Linked DNA regions of Arabidopsis thaliana. The protein of the gene in region 1 interacts with the protein of each later gene in a pairwise test. Each region holds a gene or a part of one and is shown in the gene's direction. Other genes may lie near its edges.

Region 1 (8,161 bases):
TGAACAAATTTAGGTTTCTAAAAACAAAAACTAACACTTGTTTTGGGAAATCGCTATAATCGAACGGCTACGATACCACCGCAAAGCTATCACCTCTACCAACCCGAACACGTGTACGTCTCTCATCACTTCCACATTTCTCGCGAGAAAAACCAAAAGAGTTTCGTAAAAAAAACGAATATTCCTGCTGTAATATTAATTTCTCGTGTACGTTCCGATATACGCTGACGTGTACGAGTCTCTTTATTTTTAGGTTTAAAAAAACAATGTTATTATTTGTAAACAGTATATAAACCCTTTTAGTCTCTATTGTTTCATTATTCAGTCGTAAAATAAAACCGAATTTGATTTTTATTTTTCTCTCTCAAAGTTTTTCTTGGGAGAGCAACAATGGCGATGAGGAAGCTTTTATCGAAGAAACTCTTCAATATCACGAATGTTGCTTCACAGAGTCTTATGAATTGTCGCATTTCGTCTTCTTCGTTAGCCGTACGAACCAGAGTTCCGAATGATTCAACAGATACAACCAAAATCGCACCGGAGCCTGGAGATTTGGCGATGTCGCGAAGGTTCATGCATAACAGTGCTATGATTAGGCCGGCGGAGATTATGCAGATGCCGGTGGGAGAGAGTTTGATTGAGAAACTCCGTGAGATTGATGGAAGCAAGGATCGGATTCGATTAGACGGACTTTCTCCGCCGGAGAGGGAGACGAGTTTGACGGTGGCGGATACGAAGAAGCTGCTTAGAGCGGCGCAGATCGAGATTGTGAAATCGAAGCTAAGAGAAACGGGAAGAAGCTGGATGCCGTATAAGGAGTTTGTTAGCGTTTGTGGTGAAGCTTCTTCAGATCCAGATCTCGGATCTAAAATCGCGAAGATGCTTGATGATTCAGCAAACGTCATCGTTTTGGGAGATTCCGTTTGTATTAGACCTGATCAGGTACTTTCTTCGTTCTTCTTCTCTAGCCTTTTAGCATTTTGAAATCGTGCTTTGTCTCTGAGATCTCTCTGAGTATTGCAGCTGATTGATTGGGAGAGATAAGAGAGAGATTTAAAAACTCTCTGAAAAAAACGGATTAGGTTCTCAAAAGTTTTTGTTCGATTTTGATTTTGGAAGCTATACCGAAAACTGATACCATTTTTATTCGGTTGGATCTCTTTTCTTTTGGTTCCAATTCAACAGGAGAATCAAAAACCTCTGTGTTTTTACCAGAGTTCCATAGGAGGTTCCCAAGTTTGAGAGAGATGGTGATAAAGAGGAACAGTTTCTACAGAGACCACAACTCTTTTTTTTTCCCCTAAAAAAAAAACCATTGGTTGGATTAGGGTTATAAATTGAGTCAAGACCCTTTGGTGATTTGATACCAAAACCTAAACATAAAAAAACTTCAAAAGAGAGAGTTGAGAGAAGCTTACTAACTGGTTCTTGGGGGTTATTAGAAAGTTTATAGAGATGATGATGATAATGGGTTGGGTTTATGTGGAGGGATTAGTCAATAGTGGAAGATCTTAACCAGAAACAGGGATATGGGGATGGATTGATTGACTTTATAAACTAGTCATTGATTCATAAAGATGTATTTTTGTTGTGTGTTTTTGAGTGTGCTAATTGTGTGTCTCAAAAGAAGGTGGTGGAGGTCTTGTTTTACCCAGACATTTTCTGTTTTTGTCTTTTGCTATTGTGTTTGATCAGGTTACCAAATCCATTGAAGGACTGCTTCCTTTGCCAAAGATCCATAACCCAAATGACCCTCGGAGAATCGAGTTTAAAGAGCTTGAAGCTGAAAAGGCAGTGATCGATGTGAAAGCTCACACTTTGGTGCGGAAAGAGCTTTGGGCTGGTCTCGGTTACTTGATCCTACAGACTGCGGGGTTCATGAGGCTAACGTTTTGGGAACTCTCGTGGGACGTGATGGAGCCAATCTGTTTCTATGTCACGTCCGTGTACTTTATGGCTGGTTACGCGTTTTTCCTCAGGACATCGAAAGAGCCTTCTTTTGAAGGGTTTTACCAAAGCAGGTTCGAGGCGAAACAGAGAAAGTTGATGAATGAGTATGAGTTTGATCTGGAGAGGTATAATGAACTGAAGAAGCTGTTTTGCTCTAAGCCTTCGGATCATGTTTCCAAGATTCTTGGAGCTATCAAGAGTTAAAATTTTGATTAGGGGAAAAATTGCTTAGATTCAATGTTGTTGTCACAAATGGTGTCTGATTTTACCTAACTAGAGAATTCTACCCCAAAAAAAAGTAAGAAAAAAACGAATGGGTACTACTCTCAAATTTTTCAGTTTTCGAAAAAAAGACAAAGAGGTTGTTCTTATTATTGCGGCTTATGTAACATCAGCGAAGAGTTATGTTTTTGTTTTCGATTTTTATTTTTTATTTTTTTTATTTTTTTATTTTATGACCGATCTAAAATTTAACATTGTGTAAATAAATGTTTGAAGGTGTAATATAATACAGAATTAATTATCTGCAGATTTCATATTTGCAAAAACTAAATGAGATCTATTTTTTTCTAACAAGCGTTTGTGAAAGTACAACTACATTTATAATTTCGTTGTCATGTTATAAATCGAATCAAATCCGATAGCGTGATTCTCCTCCGTAATGGGACGGGTTTTTGTCACATAATAAATTAATAATATCCTTTCATAATTTATTAATTTTAATTAATAATAGTGGAGAATTGACCTTTTGCTATTAATTTTTATGAATCCAGAGAATTAATACTATTGAATAAAAAAACATTTTTTTAGCTCACCAAATATTGGAAAATATTATAATTACATATATCAAATATATTATTATATCATCAGTTATATAAAATAGATGTACATATTACATGACCTTGTGTATGAAATATACGTTGTCATGTATTTAACATCATAGATATATAATTTTGGTATACAGATAAATTAATTTTAATGAAAACTAACACTAATCGATCGGCGTTCACCAACAAAAATATATATCAAACGTTTAGGTTTGACTCTCTGCAATTTCTTTTCCTTTAAATTTTATAATCCTTCGGGAATCTAGTTTACGTTTAAAACGAGCTTTTGGCATCATTTTATCTACCAAAATGTGTTGTTGTAGCTAATCAGGCCCAATATCAGTTTAGAAATTAATATAATCGGCCCAATAATTAATCAAAACTTCCAAAGAAAATATATGGAAAAAAAACGAGAAAAACCAAAAGTCAGATATAGCCTGGAACTTTCTTTCCCAACAACAGTAAGACTCTGTTTTTTCCCAAGATGTCTGGTTTCCTCTTTTGTTTCGTCCAAATCTCTACTTTTTAGGGATCTTGTCCTTCTCTTTTCTGCTGATTAAAACCCTCGAATTTGCTCCAATTCGACGCGAAAAAGGTAAGTTTTGCTCTTTAATTTCACTTTAGTTCTGATCCATGGATCTGCAATTGATTCGATTTGCCTTTGTCGGTTCAAATTCAAATCGATCGTCTTCGTTTCTAATTTGAGAAAGATTAGGTTTTTAATTATGGGTTTATTAGGGTTTGTCCAATCTTATGATTTAGAGCTTTTGATTGATTCGAATTTAGGGTTTTTGATTTGATTTCAATTTTTTTTTTTTGAATTAGGGCATTGAGATGGTGAATGGAGAATCATCAACTAGTACGTCTTACTCTGATAGTAACAATGACACAAATGATCAAGGAGGAGACTTTGAATGTAACATTTGTTTCGAACTAGCTCAAGATCCGATTGTCACTCTCTGTGGCCATCTCTTTTGCTGGCCTTGCTTATACCGTTGGCTTCACCACCATTCACATTCTCAAGAATGTCCGGTTTGTAAAGCCGTGGTTCAAGACGATAAGCTTGTTCCTCTTTACGGTAGAGGCAAGAACCAGACTGACCCGAGATCAAAACGTTATCCGGGTTTACGGATTCCTAACCGACCAACAGGTCAAAGACCTGAGACTGCTGCTCCTCCTCCTCAGCCTGAAGCTGCGAGTAATTTTTTCAACTACGGTATTGGTTTGATGGGTGGAATTATGCCGATGATGGCGACTACGAGGTTTGGGAATTTCAGTATGGGGTTTGGTGGTTTGTTACCTTCTTTGTTTAACTTTCAGTTTCATGGATTTCATGATGCTACGCTTTATGGTTCAACACCGGGTTATCCTTACGGTGGTTATCATAACGGTTTCCGTGGAGTTCCTCCTCGTGGACAAGAGCGTCCTATGGCTCGTGGAGGAAACCAAAGTGATGCATTTCTGAAGAATATCCTCTTTTTTGTTGGAATCTGTGTGGTGATATTTCTCATCTGGTGAAAACGAATCACATTTGGTGTATTTCCAGGTATGATCAAACTTACTTACTTGGTGCAAGTTGTGTATGTAAATATGGTAATAGCTGAGTGTACTTGTCTGCTATTTCGACGTTGTTATTGTATTTTTGTTTTGAAGATGAACCGTGAGTCTACAAGCTTTTTTACACAACTCTTTTGTTGCTTTTGTGTTTTGTCTAAGCATCTTGTGAAAACTAGTTGTGAAATAAATGGTGCGTGTTATGACATAAGAAGTATTATGCTTATAATATTTGATAGATCATTACTTTCTTTGATTCTTTAAGGTTGATAGATGCTAGCTTTTATATAGAATATAGTTTTTAAACTGATTTCTGCTTTATAAACGAAGAACAGACGTTGAATCTAGAACATGAAAAGCTCCCCTTAAATGTGAACCAGATCAGTGGCTAAATTAATGTGTTTAGGAATGATTTGCTGTGTCGGTTTAGTTGTTTGTTTTAACAACTCTATTTTAACATAGAAAAGCTGTGTGTAGTGCTCTGATCTCGTGAGCATTCTTGTGCGAGACTAAGCTTGTTCTTGTGAGTTGATTCACGTAGTGGACTGCTGGGACAGAACATGACGATAAGGGAATCACACTCCGCGATTCTTGTTCTTCTTCTGATCTCTCAGATCTCGAATTCACTCTGTTTACTCGATAGTTTGTTAGGTGTTCACACATTGCTAGATAGTTGTAGATTGATGCTAAATTGCTAATATCGAAACAGTGACCCTAGGGATGACTTCTAGAGCATCACTTACCCGTCCTTGGCTTAAACCAGTCTCAACTACCTCTCCCTTTGTAAATAAACTTTTCAACATGTAAAATGTCATCTTCTGCGTGACGGCGTTGCAGACAACAATGACCACCACTATAGGTAAGTTTTGCTTTAGTGCTATTCCATATTGTTGTTCTGACAATAATAACCTAGAATCCTTCATGGTTTGAGCTCATGTTGGGTCGTAGTGAGAATCAAGAAATGACCAATCTTTTTCTCAGCAGTATGATATGAATATGAACATAAACTGGATACCACCCATTTTGCGTCGGTGATTGCGTTTAATAAGACTTTATTTTCAACGCCCTCTCGCTGAAAAATTATTAGCAACGTCATACATCAAAAGTTGTTACCAATGAATCATTTTAGTTGGTTACTGTCGGAATTAAACCAGAAGAGATGAAGAGAAAAAAAGACAAAAGCCTTTATGTCATCCCTCTCACGTCGTCTTTGGCGGCTTCAAAGCCTTCATATGATTCTGAATCACACACAAAAAAAAGAAAACAAAATCAATGGTATGAATATAATAATTTATCCATTCCAATAATTTAATGAACCTAAAATATTCATTTACTCCAAGAAACAGCTGACTTACTAGAAACAGTTGACTTTTCTTCTTCACCATTCCTATAAACCCAATCAGAAACTTCGCAACCAAATCTTACAGAATCACGATGATCTCGTTTTCATTTCATCTCCTCGTCTTCATCCTCCTAAGTCTCTCTTCCTTCGCAACAGCACAACAGCCTTATGTCGGAATATCAACAACTGATTGCTCTGTTTCCGACAACACAACCTCTGTTTTCGGCTACTCTTGTAATGGTCTCAACAAAACTTGCCAAGCTTACGTCATTTTCCGATCTACTCCTTCTTTCTCCACCGTCACCTCAATCTCTTCCCTCTTCTCTGTCGACCCATCTCTCGTCTCCTCCCTCAATGACGCTTCACCTTCAACTTCTTTCCCTTCTGGTCAACAAGTCATTATCCCTTTAACTTGTTCTTGCACCGGTGACGATTCACAATCCAATATTACATACACAATCCAACCAAACGATTCGTATTTCGCCATTGCTAACGACACTCTTCAGGGGCTTTCGACATGTCAAGCTTTGGCAAAACAGAACAATGTTTCTTCTCAATCTTTGTTTCCTGGTATGAGGATCGTTGTTCCGATCCGTTGTGCGTGTCCCACGGCTAAACAGATCAACGAAGATGGCGTGAAGTATCTGATGAGTTATACTGTGGTTTTTGAAGACACTATCGCGATCATCAGCGATAGATTCGGGGTTGAGACGAGCAAGACTTTAAAAGCTAACGAAATGTCTTTTGAGAATTCTGAAGTTTTCCCTTTCACAACAATCCTGATCCCTTTGGTGAATCCTCCTGCAAATACTAACTCTCTCATTCCTCCTCCTCCTCCTCCTCCTCCACAATCGGTTTCTCCTCCTCCATTGTCGCCGGATGGTAGGAAATCGAAGAAGAAAACATGGGTCTATGCTCTTGCCGGAGTACTAGGAGGAGCATTGGTTTTGAGTGTGATCGGTGCAGCCATATTTTGCCTGTCTAAGAAGAAAACGAAAACGCAAACGCAAGAGGAAACGGGAAACCTCGATAGCTTCATGGGCAAGAAACCACCGATGTCTGATCAAGAATTCGATCCGCTAGATGGTTTGTCAGGTATGGTGGTAGAATCCTTAAAAGTTTACAAATTTCACGAGCTGCAATCAGCTACAAGCGATTTCACATCGTCTAGCTCGATTGGAGGATCAGGGTACATCGGAAAAATCAACGGCGATGGCGCAATGATCAAGAAAATCGAAGGAAACGCATCGGAGGAAGTCAACTTATTGTCTAAACTAAACCATCTTAACATCATCCGTCTCTCTGGATTCTGTTTCCATGAAGGAGATTGGTACTTAGTCTACGAACACGCTTCAAACGGAAGCTTAAGTGAATGGATCCACACGACGAAATCGTTACTAAGCTTGACACAAAAACTACAAATCGCTTTGGATATAGCAACAGGGCTAAACTATCTACACAACTTCGCTGATCCTCCATACGTTCACAGAGATTTGAACAGCAACAATGTGTTCCTCGACCTCGAGTTTCGAGCAAAGATTGGTAGTTTAGGTTCAGCAAGATCAACGACTGAAGATTTCGTGTTGACCAAGCACGTGGAAGGAACAAGAGGGTACTTAGCTCCGGAGTATTTGGAACATGGTTTAGTTTCAACTAAGCTTGATGTCTATGCTTTTGGAGTTGTCTTGTTGGAGATTGTTACTGGTAAAGAAGCTTCTGAATTGAAGAAAGAGATCGATGAAGGTAAAGCTATTGATGAGATTTTGATTCATGGAAGATTGTTACCTGAAGGATTAACAAGTTTTGTTGAGAGATTAGTGGTGGATTGTTTAAAGAAAGATCATTTGAATCGTCCATCGATGGATGAAAATGTTATGTCTTTGTCTAAGATCTTGGCGGCTACGCAGAACTGGGAAGAATCGTCGTACTAAGTTTAAGGCCCACTATTGTTTGGGCCCAAGGCCCATTTAGAACTAGTTAGACCCTTTGTTTTTTTTTTTTTTTTTTTTTATATATACAAATGTCATTAAAGATTTTTAGATTTTAGAAGCTTATGTTATGTTGTGTTGGAGTTGGTCACAAAAAATGTAGATTGGTCAAGGCTGTTAAATATTTAGTTTCTATACAACATGAATTATGAGAATGTTATTTTAGAACGTATTCATACCAATTAGAAATTATTATTTTAAATGAGATTACGTTAAAAATCAAAAATATATCGCTTATTTACATTTTTTTTTTAATTAATTTTGACCAAAAACTAAGCTAAAAATTATTTTCAAAATATCTTGTCCTCATTTTATGATAAAAGATAATATCTTCTCATTACTTCATTTTCCAGATAATGAAATACATAAAATGAGGGAAAAATTAGACAATGAAAGAAACTTGAAGTTCGAGGCTTTGGTGAGGATAGAAGAACAGGCTGTCACGTTTGGGTAGTCGATACACGTGGCACTTTAAGACACGTTGATTCCGACATGGACCA
Region 2 (8,591 bases), on another chromosome or scaffold:
TCATGTCACGTAACAAAACCGATTTTCTGGTTTTAGATTGTACCTGAATTTCCCCGGCTTCTCTTGTGATATTGGCCTGAGGACCCCTCAGTTTTTGCAACGCAATTTCAAAATCACTGTGGCGGCCAACCATTTCCTTGAAACGCAAAATGCATATGAGTTGGGTCGGTTAGTTTTTTTTTTGGTTTTAATGTTAAGAGGTTAATTTCAACCATATGTTGAGTTACGATCGTTGATCTTACCAGCCATCTGGGTGATTCAGGGATGAACCAAGTCCCAAAGAATAGAACCACGCACGGTGCAACTCCTGAAATTGGTTAATTAAACCTCGTTTTGTTATACCCAAATTAAATTTTATACCATCTAATTTTGTATAATTACTAAACCAACAACAAATATTTCCGGTTCAGCTACCGCACAAACAAGTTTACCGGTTAGTGCAAGAGTTCTCCAATTTACGACGGCGCCTATGAGGAACATAGAAGCTAATCCGATTACGATAAAGAGCTGCAATATTAACAATTTCAATTTATTTCAGAAATAAAACAATAATTTTTTGTTGTCTTTTAAAAGATTTAAATAACTCTAAATACTGTTTTGATTTTTGTTTTTTTGACCACAAAATACTCCTAATTTGTGATACAATGTCAAATATCTCGAAAACACCAACACATATGCTAGCTCTGATTCTATTGTAATCAGTACATTTTCTAATGCAGTAGTAAATAAAAGGACATCATCATCACCTGGTTAAGCGTCGCTAAGGCTCCTCTCAATTTTCTCGGACTAATTTCGGCGATGAAGACCGGTACCTACACAAAATCGGTGCCAAATGTGGATTTCCAAAAAGTTTCATATATAAAAAGGAATTTTTATTTATTGATTAATTTATAACACTATGCATGGCTTTTTATCCATAAGGGGAAAATGCTTATGAAAATGTCGTACCACAAAGGAAAGGGTACCGCAACCATAACCCGTTAGAAATCTTCCGAAATCCAAAGGTACGTCACCCTAATATTAAAAAAAAAACATCACTATTTAGTTGCAGATTTTCCATGTTATTTTAAAGCTTTTTTTGAAAACAGCTATTGAAGAAATTCAGCCAAAAGAATAACCTTGGCCAAGTAAATTATCAGCCAGCCGATGGCAGAGATCACTGAAGACAACCGCATGGCCTGTCTCAAAGACAAAAACCATGTGAGCCAAAAAGTAATTTTATATTTCGTAAAAATGGTATATTTTTCTTAGGATTTATTGTGTGTATATTGAGATAAAAACAATTTTGTTTAGGTAGGTTTTACCCCTTTCCGACCGATGAAATCAGAAATCTTCCCCGATGTAATGGCGCCGAGCACTGCTCCCATATTCAATATCGATCCGAAAACCGAAAACTAGATTCCAATAGAGAAAAAAAAAAAAAAAAGATTAAGCAAAATATTGTTAAACATGCATCTATAAACGTAGAAGACTTAATCAATTTAATATAAACCTGGGAATATGATAAATTAAGCTCTTCCATAATCCCAAACTGTGTTGGAGCGGAGTATCCCACCTATTAAAAAACAAACACAGATTTTCTCGTATCAAAAAGATTAATCGTCACAAATTCTTAGGTTCTCATCATCTTTTATTTCCAAAGTAATAGGTGTCGTAAAAGAATCTTACGCATGTTCCAAACTCGTAGGAACCGCAAACGGCAATGATCGTGCTTAGATAAACCATCCATGATGCTTCTTCTGAGACGTCGGATCCATTCTCCGGCAGCAGCAACGGCTCGGATTTGTCGTTCCTTTTCTCCATGTCGTCTTTTCTTGTCTCCATTTTCTTCGTAAAATGCCCTTTGAATTCAACGAATACTTATCAATTTTTATGTAGATAAAATATAGGATATATGATAAGAAACACAAGATTTGGATAACTCACCGGAGGAAATGAGAAGGCACCGTGTTTTTAGATCTAAAAACTCTGATTTGTTCCTAATTTATTGATATATATCATGTCTATATTTATCTCTGTATAAATCAGTACATGTAGCTAGGCTGGCTTAGCTAAAACCCATGCAGGATAATTTTGGACGAATTAGACAATTTGAATTAATTTATTCGAGATTTTATGAAAGTCCCAACTCCCAATGCATTATTACACGTTGGGGGTTCTCTATAGTTTTAATGTTGATTGACTAAACTTGAATTTTCTTAAGTAAGATAATTCAGAAGTAATTACATGGTATTTCATAGTAATAATATTCACTAATACTTTCCTCAAAAAATTCACAAATACTATGTACATTATGGATGCATTGTGTTACTGGGTAAGTAAGATGCATGGTTTGTTATTTTGTTTTCCTTTTTGGTGATGGTTTATGACATGCACAGTAACGTGTAATTGACTCAAAGGTTTGACCCGATAAGACAGTTGTTTTCCACAGATCCGATGCTCATGTGTTTTTTCCTGGCCCACCGCAAGATCCAAGCTGTGATGGATAGTTTTTTTTTTTTTTTTTTTCTATAAATGTGATGGATAGTTGATACTATAATAATTTCTAATTTGGGAGACAAAATCCAAAAAAAACTCTAGATCATATAGTATAAAACTACAGGGATTCAAAAGACAGTATTTGGATTTGTAGTTGGCCATGAGATATTCGTTTCCACTCCGCATTAACCACATAAGTAATGAATTATTCTTCTTCTCGTCATATGGGCTAATATCATTCAAATTCTTGCGAATGTAAGATGTATAGAAAAAACCGCCCACTATAGAAATCATCAAAATCTATGAAAATGATTTTGTCGCGGAAGTTGAACTGAGTCATTACAATTTGGACCCAGCGTCATTGAGCAAAAACCTATTTAATCGAGGGTACAGAAAGTTAGCGTAGGGACTATTGATAGATTGATAGAACAGAACAGTACCTAACAAGATTTACATAAATGATCGATGTCCCCTCTCTTATACAACAATGAAGTATTGAACAATCACTTCCAACATGATTGTGGTCCGTGGTTTAACTATCCAAAACTTATATAAGAGTCACTTGAAATAATATTTGTTAATCACAAAAATAAGAATCATAAAAATAAATAAACGGTGCAAAGCAATAAAGCCAATGCAGGTTTTAATGCAGGCTTTCTGCATCATATACACACAGAAAATATTCTATTCACAAGAAAGAAAATACAAAACAGAGTACTACTTGAATAAAAACATATAGAAAATTAAAGATAATTACTATCAGGTCGCAATATATACAAGAATGTCAATATCTACAATTGATTAGTAACAGTAAATGAAATTAGTAAAACTAAAACTACTTAGATTACTCAAGTTTGATCTTTTATAAATTCCTTATCAACAAGATAAAGAAAGTAGTTTTTTAAAACCTTAAAAGACCTAAATTAGGAATATGAGTTTGGATAACGAGACCGACAGATGAAGCGATTTTTAAGGACCCTTAACCCTTTCTGCCATAAATGAATGAAGCTAAGAGAATGCCTCTGAGTTCAATCCAAAAAGAGAAAATCAAAAGCATATTGCCAAATATAGGATTTAGTCATTTTAGAGTCTAACTATTAGCTTAACAAAAAAACTACTAGTAGATATACCATTGGTCAACGGAAAACAATTAAATTAGTAAATCAAATTTTAAACACACAGACAAAACCTTTTCTTTCGGGTGTCTCGAGACGAACACCAACTTCAAAACTTCTTTCTATTTTTATTTATTTTTGGTTTAAATGTTAACTTCTTTCTATTTCCTTTCTATGATCCTCTTCTCTATTTTTAGGTTTTCAGGTTTCTGAGAAAATCTTAAAAGTGTCCTACCAACACTCTTTCATGGCGGTAGACCAAAGCAAAGAAGCTTCTCCCGTGTGTTGTGCTCTTCCAATGTAATCATTCAATCAAATCACTTTTTTCTCTGTTTGTTCTTATATTTGATTTGAGTTTTTTTTTGGTAGACATGATATTAATGTCTAGAAGTTTATCTTCTGTTCTGTTATGATTTTCATTGATACTTAACGAACGTTTAAGCAGAATTAACGAACTTTCCCTGAATTTTCACCGATTTTCTCTTAATTTCCCGCAAAATTTACATAAGAACGACATGTTTAGTCTGTTCTTTTCTTTTGAATCTCCCGAGGCAGGTACAACTCTAAATATTCAAGTTATGTCACTGAAGAAGATCCAAACGACATAAATCATACGTCAAAACATAAAAGAACCAACGCGTTTCTTATGAATTCTGCTTCAGCTCATGGTAAAACCTAGCTCCTCTGTTTCCTCTGTTTCTATGTTTGCTCTGTTTTCTCTTGTCCTCTGTATTCTTATTCATTGCTTGTACACCAAAAAACCTAGCTTCTTCCAACGTTTTCTCTCCCTTCTCCTCCCAGATCTAAGATTACTAGAGGTAGATAAAGAGAAGCAAGACCCCAAATCACCAAGAGGAGCCCTCGAAGCCTGCTTAACTCGTTGCTCAATCTCTTCCGCTTCATCTTCATCTGACGATCCTCCTCCAAACAGAGAAGCTATCGACAATGCAGATGCAGACACAGACGTACAGTGCAAGAATCACAGAGCATCTTCTAATTGGGGAAAATTCTTCAAGCTATGGAAACGCAGATCCATGAAACGCCTCTCTTCCTTTCCTCCATTAAGTGGCGCCGCCCCACCGATCATCAAACAAAACAAAAGTGCAGATCCAAACATGAATGGCATGGTCCTTCACGATATCTACGATTTCCAATCATCTCTCCAAAACTTCTCAATATCTGACATCGAAATTGCAACTGACAATTTCAGTCCAGGTATCGAGTTTATCTTCATAACAATATACTCTCTTCTTTTTTACTTGAAGGACTGTTTGGTTGCTACTATTACTGCAATTAAAACGACGCTTCTATGCAGAAAACATTATCGGTAGAGGCGGTTACGCCGATGTATACCAGGGAATTCTACCGGAAGGAAAGCTAATCGCTGTGAAACGTTTGACAAAAGGCACACCGGACGAGCAAACAGCTGAGTTTCTATCGGAACTTGGGATTATTGCTCATGTTGATCATCCTAACACTGCCAAATTCATCGGTTGTTGCATCGAGGGTGGAATGCATCTCGTGTTCCGGCTATCTCCTCTTGGAAGCTTAGGCTCTCTCCTCCATGGTTTCTATATCCACCCATAAACTTAACGGATATACATATCGGGCTTTTAAGCTTATCATATCTAAATGCTCAAATTAATTTGTACAGGACCATCAAAATATAAGCTGACTTGGAGCAGACGTTACAATGTAGCGTTAGGAACAGCAGATGGACTAGTGTATCTTCATGAGGGTTGTCAAAGACGAATCATTCATCGAGACATCAAAGCTGATAATATTCTTCTCACCGAAGATTTTCAACCGCAGATTTGCGACTTCGGGTTAGCCAAATGGCTTCCCAAGCAATTGACACACCATAACGTATCCAAATTTGAGGGAACATTCGGGTAACAATTTGAAATTTTTTAGGAAAAGTTTTTTTTTATGTGGTTCAGTTGAGAATTTGGTTGGACAATGTTTTAGGTACTTTGCACCTGAATATTTCATGCACGGAATCGTGGACGAGAAGACTGATGTTTTCGCTTTTGGAGTTCTCCTCTTGGAGCTCATAACCGGACATCCTGCCCTTGACGAGTCTCAGCAGAGCCTTGTCTTATGGGTGAGTATATAGACCAGTTTGACATTTGAGGCTAAACCGGACCGGTTCACTATCCTTTTATCAGTCTGGTACGAGTTACGTTTCCTTTTTGCTTACAGGCTAAGCCGTTGCTAGAGAGAAAAGCTATAAAAGAATTGGTGGATCCATCTCTTGGAGATGAGTATAACCGAGAAGAGCTTATCCGGTTAACTTCCACGGCTTCTTTATGCATCGATCAATCTTCTCTTCTACGACCCCGGATGAGCCAGGTATAATATTGTAATTCCATCCCGGTTAAGGTTTCAAAGTGGGAAAGAACCAAATGTCAAATTCGTTTTGGTTCCGGTTTTGATACTGTTTCTTTAAATGTATCCAGGTTGTGGAATTATTACTAGGCCACGAAGATGTCGTAATGACTCCAAGAGAAGCGAAGATAAAGATGATGCAACGAACGTATTCCGAAGAATTATTAGATAGTGTAGAATATAACTCCACTAAGTACTTGGGAGATCTTGATCGCATTCGAGAGGTTGCTTTAGCCTCTTGAAATCGATCCAAATTATTATTATGTAAAACTATTTTGGTTTCTTTCATTGGTGAATGTAAATCGTTGGAAAAAATTACCAAAAAAAACTATTATGTGATCAAAATAGCTGAAATTTGTTTATGGATGGGAATGGAACAAACTAAATTAAAACCGGTTTAATTCCAGCTTAAATTCGGTTTATAATCACTCTCACTAGTCACTAGTATCACGTGGCAGTCACGTGCAACGTTGTTGGATTTACGTTACGAAAATATCTAAAAACAGAGAAGACTGATGTGATAAGATAAATCAAATCTTAAAATCTGGGCCCTGAATTTTGAATTTGCAAATTTACCCCCAAAGACGTTTCGTCTCTCTTCACACTGACCATCGAAATCCTCAAAAAACCCTAATCACCGCCACCACTTTTTTTGCAACCTTCGAGAATCCTCAAAACGATGGCCAAGAAGAAAGCGTCGCGTAACAGTAACGACACCGCTAATGATAACCGACAACAACAACATGACCAGAAAGCACCGGAGACTGACAAGAAAGCCACGGTACTTAGCCGTCAGTCTTCCATGGAAGAACACGATTCTTCGGAGGAGCAATTCCAGAATTTGAAGTCTCTTAATGCGATGCTTCTCAAACAAGCTATGGAGAAGAGAAACCAGATCGATTCGCTGGTTCAGGCCAAGGATGAATTGGAGACCGAGTTAGCTCGTTATTGTCAGGAGAAGACTGGGTTGCGTGACGAGTTGGATCAGGTGAGTGATGAGAATTTCGGGTTGAAGTTTGAATTGGATTTTGTTATTGTGTTTGTTGAGAGCCAGTTTAGAGAGATGTGTGTTGGAGTTGATATGTTGGTGAAGGAGAAGAGTGATAGAGAGAGTGAGATTAGGGTTTTGAAAGGGGAAGCGATTGAGCTTACGGGTAAGGTTGAGATTGAGAAGGAACAGTTGAGGAAGGTTTGTGATGAGAGGGACTTAATCAAGAATGGGTTTGATTTACAGCATGAGGAGGTGAATCGATTGAAGGAGTGTGTAGTTCGTTTGGAGGAGAAAGAATCCAATTTGGAGATAGTGATTGGGAAATTGGAATCTGAAAATGAGAGATTGGTGAAGGAGAGGAAGGTGAGAGAAGAGGAGATTGAAGGGGTAAAGAAGGAGAAGATTGGTCTGGAGAAGATAATGGAGGAGAAGAAGAATGAGATTGATGGATTGAAGAGAGAGATCAAAGTGCTTTTAAGTGAGAAGAATGAGATGGAGATTGTAAAGATTGAACAAAAAGGAGTAATCGAGGAGCTGGAGAGAAAGTTAGACAAGTTGAATGAGACTGTGCGGAGTTTGACAAAGGAAGAGAAGGTTTTGAGGGATTTGGTTATCGGGTTGGAGAAGAATCTTGATGAGTCTATGGAGAAAGAGAGTGGAATGATGGTGGAAATTGATGCATTAGGGAAAGAGAGGACAATCAAGGAATCTGAGGTTGAGAGGTTAATAGGAGAGAAGAATTTGATTGAGAAACAGATGGAGATGCTCAATGTACAGTCATCTGATAAGGGGAAGTTGATTGACCAGTTGTCTCGGGAGAAAGTTGAGCTTGAGGAGCGTATTTTTAGTCGGGAGAGGAAGCTTGTTGAGCTGAATCGAAAGGCTGATGAGCTAACTCATGCTGTTGCTGTGCTGCAAAAGAATTGTGATGATCAAACCAAGATTAACGGTAAGCTTAGCTGCAAAGTTGATCAGCTAAGCAATGCTCTTGCGCAAGTTGAGCTCAGGAGAGAAGAAGCTGATAAGGCACTTGATGAGGAGAAGAGAAATGGAGAGGATCTTAAGGCAGAGGTTTTGAAATCAGAGAAGATGGTTGCAAAAACTCTAGAAGAGCTTGAGAAAGTTAAGATTGAGCGTAAGAGTTTATTTTCAGCGAAGAATGATTTGGAGAGTCAATCTGAATCATTGAAAAGCGAAAATGTTAAACTCGAAAAGGAGCTTGTAGAGCTCAGAAAGGCTATGGAAGCTCTGAAAACAGAACTAGAATCAGCTGGAATGGATGCAAAACGCAGCATGGTGATGCTAAAGAGTGCTGCATCTATGCTATCCCAATTAGAGAACCGAGAAGATAGATTGATTAGTGAGGAACAGAAGCGAGAAATTGGAACTGAACCCTATGCGATGGAGCTAGAGTCGATAGAGAAAGCTTTCAAAAACAAAGAGGACATAATCGAGGAAATGAAGAAAGAAGCTGAGATCATGAAGCAATCAACGGAAGAGGCACACAAGAAGCAGACCTTCTGGACTCTCGTTTCGTCTGTAACAACGGTTTTTGCTGCTGCATCTTTTGCCTATGCCGCTAGGGCTCGTTAAACGTCTCAGAATGGTTTTGCCACTTA
Region 3 (7,518 bases), on another chromosome or scaffold:
TATACTACTACTCCACACGTGTGACTAAAGCTCGGTCGATCTTTTAAAAGTAATTTGTAACTACAAAATCAAATAAAATAAAATATCTTCGGAAGTTCTTATTCAAATCTTCTTTATTATTTGCAAAGTTGCTAGCATGCGACTGCTGTACATATGCTTTCCATGCTTGAGAGTCTGAAAGACATGCTAACCAACACAGAACTAGAAAAAAAAAAAAAAATACCTTTTTCTGGGCCGTATTAAAAAGTGATGGCCCGTTAATTTTCCATCAATATGAGCATCTAGTTAAAGCCCATTAGTTGTGCACAAAAAAAAAGAGTTAAGCCCAATAAAGGTATAATCGAAACCCATTTATACATCCTCCACTTTTTTGGTTTTTTTCCTCTCTTCTTTTTTCCTTTTAACATACATCCTTCGTTACCTTCACTATTCAGTGTCTGTAAATAACATATATAATATCATCATAACAATATTTTTTCAACTTCTCTTATTTATAATTCCATAGTTTGTTTGTTTTTTTTTATGGTAAAATACAACTCCCTAGTTTATATATTTTTTTTTTTCCCCTTTAACTTTTCATTTTATCAAAAAATGTTTTTAAAAAGAGTAGAGGACTCATAAAGCTTCGTACTTGTTTTATTTATATAATTAATAACTCGTATCAATGTCAATAACTATCATCCATCCCTTTTTTCTTCCTAGTTCAAAAACCTTTTAATATTGTTTGTATAAATATCTAGTTATCTACTATTAGACCATTAATACAAGAAAACAAAACTTTTAAACTGTAAATAGTGGCTTGATTTTGAATGACGAGACTTGTATGTATACGAGTGGGGTCTAGAATATTAGTCGCTGTCTAGTACATGGTTTAATGGTTCGGTTGGTGCAAGTAATTAATTATGAGAATCTTTGCTTATTTTTTAAAACTAATAATTCCACAAGTAAATAGTTTAATACGTCAATTATATATGTCTTTGTCTAATGAAAATTTTAAAACTTCCACTTAATTCTCAGCCGTCCGATCATCCAAGATGTGACCTTTTCATGGGCCTAGAACCGCGAATCGTAGCAATGTGGGCAACACGTCGAGAGGAATCTCTTAGACGAAGTAAACGCCGTTAGACTTCGAGATTCCCCGTTATTAACTCCGTTAGTGAGGCAACCGTTGGCAATTGTACCGGACCGTACCGGTTTTTGTCGTCGTACGCACACAAAAGTCCAACACACTCGCATAGCAACCCAAACATGTGTAACGCCGATTTTGCCCCCAAAAGTCTCATACGGATTCTCATGCCACGTTCCAAACAAAAGTATTTGGCTTTTTCTTTACTTTTCTTTTTTGCTATTAGTATATTTTGTTTTTGTTATATCATTTTAATTACACCAATTTACCACGAATCTCGTAATAATAATAGTATAATACTATACACATAATAGTTAATATCTTTATCAAATTTAATAAGCTTTTAAAATATTTTTGATATATAATTCATTGTTCTGTTTGTAAATGTATTTGTAGCTCACTCTGCTAGTAAAATTAAATTACAGCTTTAGCCAATTGAACTACAAAGTTTACCACTTGAAATATAAATAAACGGTAAGTATATGTAAAACAAAATAAAGTAGAAATACAATCACAAAAACTAAAAATTTGTCTTAAAATGTCATTATGTAAAGACCATTTTAAAACAAAAAAAAAGGTAAAAAGAAGACGACTGAATAATATTACGAAAGGACCCAAGCCAAAAGATTAACAGTTAGGTCATAAGAGAAGGGTAATAAAGTAATTTAAAGGAAGAGTATGTCATCTTGTTCCTCTCCTTTAATTTTCCAGTCTATTGGTCCTCAGCCTCCCTTCTCCTTCAGGTGGCGTTGCTCTCTCGTCCCCAAGAAAATCGCTTCTTTTATTTTTTTGTTTACTAAATCTTCACATAATCTTTTTAAAAAAAAAAGTCCTAAATTTCAGATGATTCGATGTTCTTTTCAGACATGGAGCGAAAAACCCTAGCGATTACGCCTCCTTCCTTCTTCTTCCACCTTGGGTAAATCCTTCTTCTTCTTTCTTCCTCACTTTATTTTATCTTTTCCCGATGATGGGTTCTTCGATTTTCACGAAAGTTTTAATTTTTTTACATCAAGTTCGAATCTTTTGTACTACTCTGCTTCTTCTATCACTTACTTGTTCTGGGTTTTAGTTCGATGTTTTCATAGAACAGTTTTAATTCAAGTTTCGCCTTTCGCTATCAATAGGAATAGTTCCTTCCTCTTTGTCTTTTTTCTGTTTATAGAACTATTTCTTGCTTCTGATTTCTTCAAATGACATTCTCTCTTTTGGGTACTATTCAAATTTTCATTTTGTTTTAACCCTTTTTCATTTTTGGGTGATTTTTTTTGTTTCCTAGAATGTTTATAGCTTTTTAAGTAGTTGGTGAATCCCCAAATTAATTTCATTGTTTGTTAAACCTCTCTTATGTGTTTGTGTTTATGTGTTAACAGAGGAGGAGCATTTGGTTCATCAAAGGCGTTTCATTGTCTTCTCCTTCTCTCATGTCTATTGCTTTCATCAGTCAATACATTGCATAACTTAGCTGAATATGGTTACAACACTGGTTCTGCTGCTATGGAGTTTCAGGGCTTTATTAATGGTGAAGATTCTGGGAGTGTAGCAATCCAGAAATCTGACCAGAATGTTTGTCCTAGTTCACAGCTGTTTTGTTTCCTTTCAGCTTTAGGATCAGAGAATCGGTCTGATCCATTTGTGTTGGCTTGTCCCAAAGAATCACGGAGTAGCTCTGCTCTGATCAGAAAAAATCTATCTGGTGTTGTGTGGCTATCTCTGAAGCCTGTCCACATCATAGAGTTTCAGCCATTTACTGGATTCTTTCACATTGGAGACACTTGTTACGAGCCTATGTCCAAAGAGCTCTATACTAAGAAGACCACAAGGGAGTTAAGTATTACGGTTTCAGGAAAACAATGTGGAGGAAATGGTTTTATGGTGAACCATCCATGTGAAGGATTTTCATTAGAACCAGGGGATTCCATAAAGTTTCTCTTTTTCTACCAGAGTGAACTCTCTTGGGCATCTGGAGTTGCTGTTTTTGCAGTACCTATGAAGGCGACCGCACCTGTTTTGATGCTTAGTCTCTACAAAAAACCGGTCTTTTGGGTGCGGACGAAGAAATTCGCAATTGCGGTTCTTATTGCTGCAGCTCTACTCATTCTGATATTTTGCTTCAATGATCACTTCATCGAGGAGAACAACAAGAGAAACAATAGCAACCACATGGAGTCGAGAGAAGTTGAGAAACCATCTACGATCACAATATCCCCTGAAATGGATTCTCTGCTAAGATCCATAAGCAAAGAAAGCCTGCAAGTGTTCGATGAGGTTCCCAAGAACAGCAGCAGCGTTAAGCCAGTTGCTTCTTCACACGAAGAAGAAGCATCAGAAGCTGTGAATCTCACTGTAAAGACAGCGAAAGACAAGAAGAGGCGCCGTAACAAGAAAAAGAAGAAAGGAGGAATCAACGGATTAACACCAGAGTGCACAGATGTTTCAAGCAGTTACAGCGGAAACTCAACTCCTAGGTCTCCAATATCACCAGAACCACCTACTACTCAAGCCGCAACGAAGCTAGTAAAGCCTCCTACTAAACCGGTCCTATCGCACTCAGCAACGTTTCCGGTTTCAGGGGTTAAGTCAATGATCATACAACGAAGCTCACTGGCTCCAAATGTGAGAGCACCTGGAGCGAAATCAAGAACCGAAGTGAAAGAAGAGAAAGCGAAAGAGTATAGGTACTATGATATCTGGGGAGATCACTTGACAGGGCTTAATTTGATGGATAAGTTAAAGGAAGTGAGAGAAGGTAAAAGCTCAGGTTTTGATGGAGAGGAGTGTGAGAGTTTCTTTGTTAAGGGTCCTCAGAACTTGTTAGCAGACTCTCACACCAGGTTTGTAAGTTTCTGTAACCAATGGGGCTAACAAAGAAATAAAGAATGAAAAACAAAAATATTTTATATAATAATGCAAGGCCCAATGGGCTTTCTGAGCAGCCACCAAGCCATTCCATTAGTGAGATATAAACACAAGCAACGTCAAACCTAAATAATGAATGTCACGTAGACAAGTTTCGACGTCTTTATAAACTTGAAGGGCTTGGTTAAGATTCCGTCCTATGGCCTCTCCGCTACTCCCTGGTCCACCGGATCAGAGAAGAAATCTCGATTGGTGCTGGTCGAAGCTTCCTTCAGATCTCATGCAATTTGTATTTGACCGCCTTGGTTTTGCCGATTTCCAACGTGCAAAATCCGTTTGTTCATCTTGGCTTTCAGTTTCGAGAAATTCTCAGCCAAACAATCAAATCCCTTGGATGATTCGATTCCCCAAGGACAACAATCACTGTCTCTTGTTCAATCCTGAAGAGGAAGACAAGATGTACAAAACTCCAAATCTCGGCAACGATTTCGCAAAGAGCTCTTGTATCGCCAGTTATGGAAGCTGGCTTTTGATGCAACCTGAATCAGAATACATGGAAGAAGACTTAGACCATCAATGTAATAATCTCTATATTCTTGATCTTCTAACCCGCGAGAGAATCAATCTACCGATTCTCCAACCAGAGTTTGGACTCACATGTCCGATATTATGGACCGATGAGAAAAGCAAAGATCACCTAGTTATTGGAATGGCTCATGAAGAATTAGCCATTTCTTTCAAGAAAGGAGATTCCTCGTGGAAACAAATCCCAACCTTGTCAGGTATCGAAGAGTGTTTTAGCATGGTTTTTAAGGATCACAAACTTTACTGTCTGAGCAATTATAAACTCAAGGTCTTCGATTTCTCTGGAGATATTCCGGTCAAAGTTTTCAAAACTAGCGTAAGTAAGTTGTTAAATAATCCACTATGTATTTCCATGAGAATGAGACTTCCTGGAATTCCAATGAAGGACCAGTTGAATCACTTCAAGGATGATATGGTAGTCACTCTAGCCGGACATGTCTTAATTGTTAAGTGCCATCGTCCGAGTCTGTCCAAGATATGGAGCTTTGAAATCTACAAGATGGAAGGGAACAACAACAAGTGGGAGAAAACTGTTTCTCTGGGAGACGAGACAATTCTTTTGGATTTGGGTATCACAGTGCTCGCCAAGGACATGCAAGGGATCAAGGCCAATTCCATCTACTTCTCCAATCCTACTCCTTATTTTAAAGATCAATATGACGAAAACGAAATCTTCATATTCGACCTCGATTCCAACACCGTTGAACAACCGCACCGATCTGTTTCCTCTTCCTTTCCCCGCTCTAGAGCCCGATGGTTCTTGCCATGTTTCAAACGAGAATCATACTTCCTTCAGTAATTTGTCTTTTTTTTAATGTATCTACGTATTCTTCATATCAAGTATTGCAACATTTAGTAATAAAGAATAAAGCCAACAAACGATACTTGCCATATAGAGTAATAATTAAGCCAAGAACACCATCCTTGATTACAAGGTAATAACTTTTGAGGACGGTCTCGGACCCTCAAGATGAGAGTGAAGGCAAAAAATCACACCCGTAAAAAAAAAAAAAAAAAAAAAAAAAAAAAAAAAAAGAGAAACGGATGATCAAGAGAATCATGAGCCTAGAAAACTTTCTTACGAATCACAGACAAGGGTTGAGAACCGATGATCAGGACGCTTTCCTATGGCCTTAGAACCTGGAAATTGTGTTGAAGTAAGTTTACTTGCAAAAGAGACAAGTACCAAGTTTGTATGATGATGAAAGATATTACTCACGAGGTACGGTGTGTTATCGATAATTTGGTCTGTGATTGTCTCCTTCTCTTCTGTTGTTTACCATGTACAAGTCCCTTGCCCCATGGTTGTAGCTACTATTGAAGTTGGAATGGTAGGTCTGATGGTTCATGTATGGCCCTTGAGTGACCTCACTCTGCCTGTATGTGTCTCCTTCTCTTCTGTGGCTTATCATCATATGCGAGAAGTGTTCCAAGTCCCTCACTCCCAGGTTGTAGCCACTGTTCGAGCTGACATGGGGGTTCTGGTATGGTCTCCTCTGATGAGTAACCGGCACAGTGTGTGTATTGACATGTGGGTTGAATGATGCTTGTCCCTGCGGAGCATTAGAGGCAGTTCTTCTGATGTAGAAAGCTGGTGGTGGTCTTTGGTTTGTTTGGTTTTGCTGTGTTGGATAAGTATAGGAGGCAGGTGGTGGTCTTTGGTTTGTTTGGTTTTGTTGTGTTGAATAAGTATAGGAGGCAGGTGGTGGTCGTTGGTTTGTTTGGTTTTGTTGTTCTGAATAAGTATAGGAATGATAAGGAGGAATATTTGGACGAGGAAGATGTGAATTGATAGGAGCGTACGAACGAGGAGCATGTGGTCGAGGAGCATATGTAGGAGGTGCATGTGAACGAGGAGCATGTGGTCGAGAAGTGTAGAAATTAGCGGGATTCATATCTGTCAACTGTGTTGGATGATTCTTATGGCCCTGTGAAGGATTTTGGTTTGGAAAAGCAACAAGTGAATGATTAGCGGGAGTGTTTTGTCTAAGCCTCTGGGTTAGATTCTCATCTTTCTCGTTTTTTCTTGTCTTTACTTGACAAGGCTTCTTCACATGACCAGGCTTTTGAAGTCTTCCATCTGGTAACAGAAACAGAAAGATCACTAAAAGAAACCTCTCATATATATATAAACACACCTCTATAACAAAGAAAACTAAATCATCTCTCACCTTTTAGTACATAGCCTGACTTAATTTTCCTTTCTCTCATAACCTTTCTTGCTGCGGCACCACGGTTATGCTTTTCGTTAAGAACTTTGACTCTGTCTTCTTCATTTGGCCATCGCTGGAATAAGAAATGGAGCAACCAACTGATAAGCATATGCAAACCGGCAAGACTCATGACTGAATATGAAAAAATAGAAAAGAAAACCCACCTGCCTCAAGGTCATTAACCTATAAAGATTTCGTCCTTTGACTAGTAATGGATACAAAGGTGGCAATTTCTGTGTCCCCTCACACCAGAGCACTTCAATCTATGATAAAGACACAAACCAGATAGTTAGAAGTTAGAAGAAACCAGGCAACAAGATCAGAGAATATAAAGATGATCAACAAACATTAGAGGTGAGACTTACAGTGAACGTGTGTTGTTGTTTAGCAGTACCATAGCTTTCTTTAACAACCTGGCCAGCGACAGTTCTTCTCCCCATAATATTTCCACTCTTTTTCATCTTTTCATACCTATTCAACCCCAAGATCATTGATTTAGGGAAACACAAAAAAAAAAAAAAAAGTGATAGGAGAAGTAAAAAGCATGAGTTTATTATAGAGAAGTTATTACTTGTGGTGAACCTTCTGTGTAAACAAAACAATGTCTCCTTTGCAGACATCACCTGCACCAATTTATAAGACTATCAAACTCTGCCAAACAAAACTTAGCATATCAAAAACTTTTAGTAATATTACCTTTACAATTGATAGCAAAGGATGATTTTGGATACACTG

The links.
Region 2: the proteins of AT2G23780 (region 1) and RBK2 interact in a protein complementation assay, tested with the Arabidopsis thaliana proteins (one large-scale study listed by BioGRID).
Region 3: the proteins of AT2G23780 (region 1) and AT5G66830 interact in a protein complementation assay, tested with the Arabidopsis thaliana proteins (one large-scale study listed by BioGRID).

Annotation. Positions count from the first base shown.
Region 1 is NC_003071.7:10,119,685-10,127,845, reverse strand, and holds AT2G23780 (RING/U-box superfamily protein), read left to right. Parts: upstream 1-3,209; 5' UTR 3,210-3,372; intron 3,373-3,602; 5' UTR 3,603-3,611; coding exon 3,612-4,295; 3' UTR 4,296-4,323; exon of another isoform or gene 4,324-4,808; 3' UTR 4,809-5,349; downstream 5,350-8,161. Other genes in the region: AT2G23790 (calcium uniporter (DUF607)), read left to right, coding at 391-942, 1,696-2,154; LYK4 (protein kinase family protein / peptidoglycan-binding LysM domain-containing protein), read left to right, coding at 5,766-7,604.
Region 2 is NC_003074.8:1,433,449-1,442,039, reverse strand, and holds RBK2 (ROP binding protein kinases 2), read left to right. Parts: upstream 1-3,500; 5' UTR 3,501-3,840; coding exon 3,841-3,893; exon of another isoform or gene 3,894-4,148; coding exon 4,149-4,261; intron 4,262-4,394; coding exon 4,395-4,808; intron 4,809-4,908; coding exon 4,909-5,160; intron 5,161-5,247; coding exon 5,248-5,485; intron 5,486-5,561; coding exon 5,562-5,697; intron 5,698-5,795; coding exon 5,796-5,945; intron 5,946-6,052; coding exon 6,053-6,223; 3' UTR 6,224-6,356; downstream 6,357-8,591. Other genes in the region: AT3G05150 (Major facilitator superfamily protein), read right to left, coding at 44-136, 243-307, 432-507, 747-812, 949-1,014, 1,119-1,178, 1,305-1,394, 1,493-1,555 and 1 more; AT3G05130 (paramyosin-like protein), read left to right, coding at 6,661-8,565.
Region 3 is NC_003076.8:26,687,120-26,694,637, forward strand, and holds AT5G66830 (F-box protein (DUF295)), read left to right. Parts: upstream 1-4,133; 5' UTR 4,134-4,184; coding exon 4,185-5,369; 3' UTR 5,370-5,570; downstream 5,571-7,518. Other genes in the region: AT5G66820 (uncharacterized protein), read left to right, coding at 1,978-2,045, 2,500-3,991; AT5G66840 (SAP domain-containing protein), read right to left, coding at 5,803-6,650, 6,742-6,856, 6,948-7,046, 7,149-7,254, 7,355-7,406, 7,480-7,518.